3 linked regions of the Drosophila melanogaster genome follow. The protein of the gene in region 1 interacts with the protein of each later gene in a pairwise test. Each region holds a gene or a part of one and is shown in the gene's direction. Other genes may lie near its edges.

Region 1 (3,417 bases):
GTAGAGCTATTGATTCAAATAAAAATAAATTGGAGTTAGTTCGAATAATATCGCTCCACGTTTCTCTCTCTGTATGCACCCACCCCCATCCAAATGTCTACACATAACGTCCGGATATGTAACTTCGTTTCGGTCGCTTCGTTTCCGGTTTCGTTTCAGGCATGGTCGTCAACTTTGCGCCGGTCAACCTGGTCACCGAAGTAAAGTCTGTGGAGATGCACCACGAGGCTCTCACCGAAGCCATGCCCGGCGACAACGTTGGCTTCAACGTGAAGAACGTGTCCGTGAAGGAGCTCCGTCGTGGCTATGTGGCCGGCGATTCCAAGAACAATCCTCCTAGGGGAGCAGCCGACTTTACCGCTCAGGTAGGGTAACAAAGATGAGAAATCTTTGATAGTTGAACTCATCTTTGTTTGGTTTTTTTTTTTCTTTTTGCCCACAGGTGATTGTGCTCAACCATCCGGGCCAGATCGCCAATGGGTACACTCCCGTCTTGGATTGCCACACGGCGCACATTGCCTGCAAGTTTTCCGAGATCAAGGAGAAGTGCGACCGCCGTACGGGCAAGACCACCGAGACGGAGCCGAAGGCTATCAAGTCCGGGGATGCGGCCATCATTGTGCTGGTGCCCAGCAAGCCGTTGTGCGTAGAGAGCTTCCAGGAGTTCCCACCGCTGGGACGGTTCGCTGTGCGCGACATGAGGCAGACCGTGGCCGTGGGCGTCATCAAGTCGGTGAACTTTAAAGAGACGACCTCGGGCAAGGTGACAAAAGCCGCTGAGAAGGCACAGAAGAAGAAATAACTAGGGTGCCAGCAGAACAACGTCATCACTCGAACCCAACAACAACAAAAACAGACGGCTAGAGCAACAGCAGCAACAACACACAACAACAATACACATGTCAAAATTATAATACCCACTCGACGATCAAAATCACACCTTGACTCCATGGCAAGAGAGACACCAATTACTACTATTACTAGCTGCTGGGAGAAGCGGCAGATATTAACCGAAATCGAGCAGATTATACCCTATATAATAACCACACGTACGATTAGCGAGGAGAGGAGCATCAGGTGCAGCGAGGATGCGAAGGAGGAGCCCTTCCAGCTCGCCGGGTCGGTTTTGGTCGCCTTCGCCGTGGTGGTCTACTGCAGCTATCTGAACATGTATCGTCACCGCAAGTCCTTTCGTAGGAAACCACCCGCTAGCCACTCCGCAGAGTGGATAGGGGCCTCCGGAGCACTGCTGTAGCCCGCCCCTTCGATATATACTCATCTCTACAACTAACCTTACACTTGATTAGCAGCCACACATCCGGTCGCATCCACCTGTTTCGAATGGATTTTAAACACTTTTTATACTTTTGATAAGTCAAGTCGGAGGCATTCGATTTAAAATCTATTGAAATATGTAATTTCCGAATTTAGTTTTAAACCACGTCCGCGCTCCCAAAAATCCCCCGAACCGAAAAGACTACATTCGCGATGAATTCAAAATTTCTCTTGAAACCAAAAGACAAATGCTTAAGAAGTATTACAAAAAAGAAATCAACATTACACACATAATCATGCGGTTTTTGAAAACATTATAAATGTTTAATCGAGCCTCATTTGCATTTGCATATTACATAATATACGTTAGCCACATGTCATCTCATTGCCCATAATAACCTGCATCCTGCATATTATACACGTTAATCTCACACTCTGAATTTATACAAATCGAAGACAATTGTAACCGACACCAGAACAATTCTTGGATACAGAACATGTTGCTTGATAAAAGATCTTTTAAATGATGAGAAAAATAAAGGAAGCTTAACCGTAAAATACCACACACGAACGCCTTTTAATTGAAAAATACTTGAATATCTATGAAGAAAATGAAATCAGTTTAAAATGAAATTCAAATTAAGGCGGTTCCGAGTGGTTCATTTTACTCGTTCCGCCGATAGGTTGGCAGCCCTGGTTTGGGCTCTGACTCACTGGGCGCTCTGTACAAAAACAACAAAGACTGCACTACATTGCCAACTACTCCGAATCTCAGCCGGCTGTTCGAAGTTTAGTCGAATTAACTGTGATTCATGCCAGGAAGTCCCCGTCGAGCTTCACTAACTTCAGTTCATAGGCGAACGCAGTAGAACGCAGCCCAACAAAAATGACAGACCCCCGCATCCGGCAACTGGTGATTAAATCCGGAGTGGTCCGGCGGTTGACCAGGGAGAAGTACTGCTACGCCAAGGAAGTGCTGACCGAGCAGGCGCGGTTGGAGAAGCTCAGGGGCGACGGAGCCGACGACCACGTACTGCGCAAGCAGGAGGAGGTCATCCAGGAGTGCATCATGATGGTGCCCGACTCCAAGAGAAGGTATGCATTCTTCCGTTTCCCCCTTCAAAAGCCTAATGGGACGTTCCTTTCACAGACTGCAGAAGGAGTACGAGGTACTGGAAAAGTACCTCGCCGATGAGCAGGACCTGATCGAGACAGATTCGTATAAGAAGGCAGCAGAGATCCTCAAAGATGCCAAAGCTGAACTGGAGACCTAGAACCACCCCAAAACTTAATTCACTGCCCCTAATGTCAGCATTAATGCAAATTCCTGATGGCAATTCCATCTCCGAGCTCTGAGCTGCAGAGCGGCTTGAATCCACACATACTGAGCTAATACTCTTCCCCTTTGTTTGTTTTAAAAAAATAACATTATATTTTTTTGAAAAGGAATCGCCTAGTTGCTGGTGGCGTTCGCCTCACTTTTGCTAAATAAAAATAATAATCTATAATTAAATATTTTAAAACTACCCCCAATGTGCACCTTCAGGCGTTTACCAACACCAACAACCAAAATAAGATGACTCCGCCGCACAAAAAGCATAGATTAAGTGAAGTTAAAGCCAAGATTCAGCAAGTTATATCGAGTTTGGGGCAACTGGAGCAACAGAGCTGTGGAGCAGGTCGCGATTTCGATGTGCACCGGGCGGAGGAGCTGCAGCGGAGCACGGCAACCCTGCTGGATGAACTTGACCAAGTACCGGGCCAACAAGTAGTCGACGAACAAAAACAAAGAAAACGCCGGCGACGCTTATATAGACGAAGCCAACATCGGGTGATACGTGCAACCGTCAAATCTGAGGCTGCAGAACAGAAGTTCTCCATAGAACCGCCCCGAAATACCGCACTGGAACAAGCGAAGCACATATCCCTGCGAAAACAACGCGATGCTGCCTCCATTTTGGAGACCTTTGATCTTCTGGAGAAACTTTGCGAGTCTCGTGGAGGAGACAGAGCCGCCCTTTGCCAAAAACTGACCCACATGCGTCTTGTTTGGCGCAGAGTCCAAGAAGAGACTCAAGCTGGCCATGTCAAGGAGTCCAAGAAGGTGGCTTCACTTGAATCTCAATGGAAGGCTGTGTTCTT
Region 2 (3,758 bases), on another chromosome or scaffold:
ACATTCGACATTTGCGTATATTATTCGAATAGTCGTTTTTTTTCCCCCGATTTCGTCACAGTGCATTAATCAGCATTGTGTTACCCTTTGTTATATTGTTAAGGTGCAAATTTCAAATCCATATTTCTCCATGTATAAATATATATTTAAATTGCTCAATTCCCAGCTGAGTCTGCCAATAGGTTGAGTGTTATTTTATATCAAAGGGCATTCAATATAAAACAATTCAAAACGTATCTGGGCATTTATATATTTAAAAACTGCGTTTATTTATGAGGTTTATATAAAGAAACAGTTTAAGAATAGAAAAATGTAATAAACTTCTGTTACCATGCCGACCATTTGGCACTCATTTAACCACTGTGCCTCTAAAATCAAGGACTCTCGATGGCTGAGCTAAATTTTTTGCACATTTGCGGGTTTCTTGCGCACAATGGTCAAAGGGGCGCGAATCAAACGGGGGCCTTGACTTTTGCACTTTTGGCGAATTTTTTTTACAGCAGGACATACAGCAAATCGGACGGAGGATAAAACAAGAACCAAAAAGAAAGATACAAGGCACAAATACCGAAAGACAAGTAACTCACCACGACGGGGGGTGTCGCCGGAGGTGAAGGTGGATAAACAGGAATTTCTGCCTGTTCTGTTTTGATTTTTCGCTATCTCTCTCTTTCGCTCAGCTGCTTCTGCTTCTTCGGTTTGTTTATGTGTAATCCTTTTGTTTCTTTCGATTTTGGCGCGCAATTTTCCTTTTTTTTATTGCTATTGTTTTAGTTGTTGCTAATTACTAATTTGCAATGCAATTTTTCAAAACACGCGAAGCCGTTTTGTTGTGGCCGTTGTTATTGTTGCGTTGGCCGTGTGATTGCGGTTATAGTTGTCGTTGCGTTGTTGTTGGTTGTTGCTAGTTGCTGTTGTTGCTTTTGCAACTTTTTCACAATTTGCATTTCACGTATTTTTGCAGCAGCTTCGACGACTTTGACTTTGTTGCACAAACACAGGCGGAAAAACGGCCACACACTAACGAACTGAAAACAACAAAACAATCCGAGGAAGCTGCTGGCGTCTCTTTTCCTTCGATTTTTTCCCAAGATTGCCAATCCGATTTTACTGCCTGATTTAGTGTACTTTCGCGAATCTATAGTTATTTCCGCAGCCAGTCATTCAAAAACGAAAATGTAAACGAAACAGTGGGTTTACATTAATATATCATCACATAAATATGGGTTTTTTTGAATCCCAAAAGCATCTCGTGTTACTTAGCGCGACAAATCGGTTTCCGACGTATACTCGTTCGCTGAGATGTTATTCCACAGTGGTATTTAATTTGTTTTTACTCTTCATGCGAGGAAAGCACCGTACGCGCACGCTGCTCAAAACGGAATGAAAACAAGAGCTGTCGCATCGTTTCAGCCGAAAAATACCGAAGCATGCTGAAACTTCGAAAAATACCGCAAGCGAGAAACGATGTTTTTTCATCTATGGCAAGTCGACGTCTATTACCCTTTCGATTAATAGAAATAAAATATTGCATATTTATTGAAGTAACGAAGTTTGTTGCATCCCAGAGTTTTGTTAAGGCATAAATAAAGTTCCATAAGCAATTTAAAGACTATTTAATTAAATTGATTTCTAATTGGCATATGAACGAACATTTATTGGTCGTCCAGTTTAGAGTACATATTTATGTACAAATCGAAGTAAATTTTTTATAATATTAACGCACGGTTTATCAATGGCACAAACCATCAGCGATTCCCAAGCCATCCATTTTTAGCTATGTTATAGCTATAGAAAAAGCAATCACAAGCAAAATTAAAGATAATAAACAATATTAAATTTAAATGGCCTGAGAACAGTGGAATGCATTTTTATGACAGGCTTTCGAACTCCGTACATAAAGTACATTTACCGTACCGACCCAACAAAGAAGTGGCGCCGATAAGCACAATATTTAAAAACCGATAGGCACACGTTATTTGACTTTTTGTCTGCAAAAGCTTTCTCGTTTTAAGGAGCTTTGATTTTGGCATCACCTGCAACAAAAGCGGTTTTCAGTTTAGTTAGCCTCTTTCTCACAAACAAGTCGGTTGTTTTTGCGCTGTTGGAGGAGTGAAATTCTTAGCCGCGCTATTGTTTTTGTTGTTTGCGTGGCGTTGTGTTTATAACAATAACAACAAGTGATTATCACTGGAAGACATGTTCTGTTCAAGTAGCTAAGCATATGGCTGGCTAAGAAAAAAAACACAAGGGTTATAACCCTTTTTTGGCCGAAATACGAGACTGTCCTCCGGGGTTACTTCATTCGGTCTGTTATTTTGGCCACCTCCCAGTTCCTTCAAAATGGTTCGGTGGAGCGCGCGGTCGCGGCGCCAAGCTCGCCAGGATAAAGTGGAGCTATTGGCCAGAAACAACAAAGTGAATGGCGAGGACGATACCTCCGATAACGGTACGTGCCAGGGGTGTCCTCAAAAGGAGAATTTTAAGCGAAGTTCATACGAAATTCCAAACTATCATTTTATTGTTGTTTCTTTTTCCTTTAAGGCTCTGTTAATAAAGTTTTAATTTTGAAGATTTCAGTTGTTTAAATAGTTAAAAGATTTACAAACTAAATATTTCAATTCATATTCAAAAAGTGAAACGAGACAAGAGTTATGTTGCATTTCAGTAAGCCTGCTTGAAGTAAATATAATGATTTGTACTCATAGCTAAGAATAATCTGAAACCTGTTTGAAGATATGCGGTCTTTAAATGTATTTACAATAAATCGATAACAAAGAATATGATTATAAAACGAAAAATCAGATGCATGTATATCTAAATATTTCCCTCTAGAATTCCATCATTGTATGAATTGTATGAATTGAAAAGGGTAGCATTAAGCTGCCAAAACGAATGTCATTTCATCTGTTTCCGATTGTCATTTAACGACTGCGATTAATCTAAAACACTTTCGCTCCGTTTTAGCCGCCTTTCGCAACTCGACTGACCTATCCGACCACGATGAGATCTTCCTCAAGGGATTGCTGCGTAGTAACTCCAACACGCCCCACAAGGAACTGATGGCAAGTAGACCAGAACATATAAACGTAAAAAGGCGAGAGAAAATATCTCTGTACAATTTCTGACCCACTTAAACGCCTTCGAGCATCTGCTCAATAAGAAAATTGCGCATACGGTTTTCCACCCATTTTCCATACCCAGCCACACACACGCACACACTTTCCACATTTGTGTTTACTTCATCGATGGCATTGCATGCTGATTTTTCGGTCTAGATAGAATTTTCCGGGCTGCTTGTATGTGCGTGTGTTTGCTTTTCTTATTACATCATTTTCCTTGCCTCCACAAGCGCCAAAAAGAAAAGAAAATCCTTCTGTATTTTAAAAGATTTTCTCGCTTTAGCCATGCACTGCAATTGTTTTTTTTTTTTTTTTTGACTTCGTAATGGCCCATTAGCACTTGCTATTTTATTTTTGCCTTCCTCTTTTGAGTTTTCGCACTAAACTTGACCTCTATTGCCTCGGCAGATGAGTTGCCTTTATGCAGATGGGAGGCATTTTATTAGATCATCGTGACATAACCATTGAAGTGGAAATTATCTTGACCCGACACATTTAGCGCCTCCTCGAAGGTTTCTTACGGTAAAAGAACTGCCAAAAAGTTTGTAGCCTAATCAAATTGTAAATATTATTTGCTGTTCCTGCGGCAAACACGCAGGTCAACTAGAAAAACAATGAGAGGCAGTTACAACCAAA
Region 3 (3,758 bases), 5.9 Mb from region 1:
GTACAAGAAGGCGCAGGGCGTCACATCGGATCCCACATTGTCACCACCCAGAGGAGTTGGCTCCCGGTTGACATACTTTCATTGTTCCTTATTGGGGTAAGTTGTTGAATAAATGGAATGTTTGAGTATACGAAAAATTGCTTACTTATAAAAATATATATAAATACTAATTTCCATTACATTGCAGTTATTTCTTGGGCCTGCTAACGGCGACGGTCAGCTCCGAGGTCTTTAAGGCGGCCCAGCCGGCGCTGCTGTATCTAGTGCCCTTTACGTTATTGCCGCTCTTGCTGATGGCGTATCTGAAGGTATACTCCATGCTCGAATAGTTCCGAATTTGGTCGATATCTGTAATGTTTTGTTACTTGTTGCAGGGCGACCTGCGGCGCATGTGGAGCGAGCCGTTTATCGCGCAACAACCATCAAAACAACTGGAAGTCTGAGTGTACTCTATCTAAAAGCAAAGAAAAACAAAAAACCAACAGCATACAATGTGAAGAACACACACACATAAGATCTAATACTAACGTTTGTCTCTTAAATAACGTATTGAGTATGTATTTTTTAACTCAACTTAACTAAGTTTCGTTTTAAGTTAGGTGATCCTCGTTTTCATAGTGAAATAAAAGCAAAAACCGAGTAATTATAGTTTTTAGCCTAAGCGGAAAGGTTTTATATATTCACATATATATATACTTCATACGAGAGTTCATTCAAATTGGCTTTAATGTCTCCAATCATGCAGATAACTAGCGAGTAGAACAAAGGTCAAGCGAAATATTAGTTACTAACTAATAGGCATTACTAATAACTCTGTAAACCATAGCGAAAAGACTAGCAAGAAGACAGTTTGAGATTCGAATTTCAATCATACATCATCCACTCGAAATCTGTTCCGGGCAGTACGTTCTGTAAATACTTAAGTTATGTGTAATAATAACAAACCACCATGCAACAAATAATAGTTAGTAAGCTCGCCTTCATACACATTTAATCGAGATCCGTTTCCGTTTCACACGCTCATTTCCGTCCTTCGATTTTTTCGTTTTGTCACCCAATGTTTCCCACACATCTTCACAACCATAATGATGTTTTGCCAAAATGCATGTGTTCGTTGCAAACAATAAATCAATTAATAATGCTAGACGACAACTGTTGCACTGCGTGTGTTTCACAAAATTAAGTTTCAAGAATTTTAATTATTTACTATTAACGCAGCTAAAAATAAATAAATACTGTATGCATATGGAAACGATAGTTACATATTAATTTTAAGTAAATGCAATTTCGAAACGTATAGAAACAATAAAAATGTGAGATTTAAAACAACATTGCCTATAAGCGTTTTTTACAAAAATTGGAAGCATGTACGCTTTTTGTAATGTAGTAGGTAGATCTTTTTTGAAACCTTACATTTAAATGTTGGCGCCAAAATATTCCTAAGTTTCCCACCATTTTGCTTACCAAAGTTTACAACCTTGCGGTAATCGGGTTTTCTGTGGCGAGCGGTCACAACTTAGCGGGTAAATTCATGTTAGCGAGTACACACCTCCATTTAGCGGGGTTACGTTCCAGAAAGAACATCGATACAACAAATATCGATAGATATATACTATGCATATCGATTTTCGTCCGGCTCTAATTTTCACGGTCGAGGTTTTTTCGTTTTAAATCGCAAAAAACACAAACAAATCAGTGATAAATAATATTGCAACCAGACGGTAGCTCAAGCGGAACTGGCAACCAATGATTACGAATTAACAACAAACAAGTGTATGTGCACTTCAGTTATTGACTAACTCGCCACTTCCTTTTGCTCGCAACAACAAAACAACGCAAAAGAATATTTTGAGCGGATGTGCGTGTGTTTGTGTGTGTGTGCGTGTGAGCGAGATATCATGCACTTTGTGTAGAAAAATAAAAGCATAAAAAAGATGCCGAGCATTTAGATAATACTTAAACCGCAAAGTGAGTTATTTACATGTGTCGAGTGGCAAATTCAATAGTATTTTTGATTATATTATAAGCGTGTTCCACGCGCATATTGCGATGTGACGTAGGCGTGGAAATTCCTGTGGGAAATTTTTCACCACCGCGCCGCTGTGTGGGTGTGTGTGTCTGCCCTCGCATTTGTGTGAGTGGGTGTGTGTGGGCTACGCCGCAAGTTTGTTTTCGTTTACTTTTAATTGCCGAGAAAAAGGATTAATTGTGGCACTGAAAATGCGTGTTACTTAATGTAATGTGCAAACATGCGTAAATATTCATTACATAAATGCAAAATTCTTCAGTGTACATTGTTATGAACAAAAATATGTGCTTAAGTCTGGGCGCTTATCATTATATACATTGCATACCCGTGTTTTAAGAAAATATACCATTTTGCGCCATCAATAAGTCAGGCTGTTAAATAACTCAATAAACAGGCTTGTAAAATCAATATTGTGTTTAAATAGCAAGCAAAGCTAACTTTTTATTGTTTTGTTTTGGTCAGCACTTAATTCTTATCAAGTTTTCTAGAATTAAAGTTGCCAAAATTCCCCCAACTCGTTGAAAACCTTAATCCTGTGAGTCAGAGAATAGAAATAGATCGTTGCACATCGGCCCAATATATAATACATATAACAACTAAACTATAAATGCTTTTGTATTCTTCAAAGCGATCAGCAATGATCGCTGTTTTTGCGAAGTAACTCGACTAAACCGCGATCGCATTGTTTGTCTAACATTTCAGCGCTTTTGAAACGGACTCCAGCTGGGTAACTCGTGTGGCAAACTGAACCGGAACCGGCAGAGGCAGCGGCAGCAGGAGCAGGAGGAGGACCTGGACCAGCGGAACTGGCAACCACCTGGCCAAATGGGTGGCAATAGCACAGGAGCGAATACGAGCGCCTTCAGCGCTGGCGGTTACATTGGGCCCACGTCGGCCAGCAGTCATCACAGCCTGGGAACTTCATCGGCGGCAGCGGCAGCAGCAGCAGGAAGTGACCTGATACCCGCACCAATTGGCACGGGCAACGCCATGGGAGTGTCTTCGTATGCATACGGTGGAACCAGTTGGGAGGAGTTCTGCGAACGACACGCCAGAGTGGCTGCCTCGGATTTCGCCAAGGCGTGCATCACGTACATTAATGGCAATCTGCCGCCGGAGGAGGCGAGGAACATCCAGCATCGCAGCTTTGCTCAGAAATTTGTGGAATCCTTTTCGGCGCACTACGACACGGAGTTCTTCAAGCGGAGGAGCACTCTTAAATCAGGTGCGGGCTCGCTGGACTTCGAGGAGGAGCACGAGGTGCCAAAACTGCTCTCAAAGTCTCTATTAAGACGACTATCATTCAAAGGACTGCGCAAGGGCAAGGTGAGTTGATGCTCTTCTCAAATCCTCTCGAAATCATTGAATAGATTGATTTTTGATTATTTCGAGGCCACACTTGATGCTTATACTTTTTTTTTAGACATGATTGTTGTTTTCTGTCCGATAATACCCATTAAGAAGGTCACGAATCACGAACTAAAAGTATGCAGATAAAAGCATTCACTTTAGCATTCTTTGCATTCTGTCCATAAGTCCGATTAGACCTCACTGAAGTGGTATTATTATCTTCTATTTGATTTGTTGAATACGTCATGATTATCAGAACATGCTGTCAATTATGCAAGTCTTTCTTTCAATTTTGCAGATCATGAAGTATTTCACATTGATTAAAAAGCTTTTCAGTGCCAGGATGTTTTATAGTCGGAAACTCCGGCTATATTGTCAC

The links.
Region 2: the proteins of Tbca (region 1) and vari interact in a two-hybrid assay, tested with the Drosophila melanogaster proteins (one large-scale study listed by BioGRID).
Region 3: the proteins of Tbca (region 1) and Lnk interact in a two-hybrid assay, tested with the Drosophila melanogaster proteins (one large-scale study listed by BioGRID).

What each region holds. Positions count from the first base shown.
Region 1 is NT_033777.3:31,741,468-31,744,884, forward strand, and holds Tbca (tubulin binding cofactor A), read left to right. Parts: upstream 1-2,022; 5' UTR 2,023-2,161; coding exon 2,162-2,370; intron 2,371-2,425; coding exon 2,426-2,549; 3' UTR 2,550-2,781; downstream 2,782-3,417. Other genes in the region: eEF1alpha2 (eukaryotic translation elongation factor 1 alpha 2), read left to right, coding at 160-365, 443-802; CG1896 (uncharacterized protein), read left to right, coding at 2,852-3,417.
Region 2 is NT_033779.5:20,795,344-20,799,101, reverse strand, and holds the start of vari (varicose), read left to right. Parts: upstream 1-2,059; 5' UTR 2,060-2,343; coding exon 2,344-2,449; intron 2,450-2,967; coding exon 2,968-3,065; intron 3,066-3,758.
Region 3 is NT_033777.3:25,886,924-25,890,681, forward strand, and holds the start of Lnk (Lnk), read left to right. Parts: upstream 1-1,618; 5' UTR 1,619-1,968; exon of another isoform or gene 1,969-2,142; intron 2,143-2,731; 5' UTR 2,732-2,854; coding exon 2,855-3,355; intron 3,356-3,758. Other genes in the region: SppL (signal peptide peptidase-like), read left to right, coding at 1-96, 188-308, 375-443.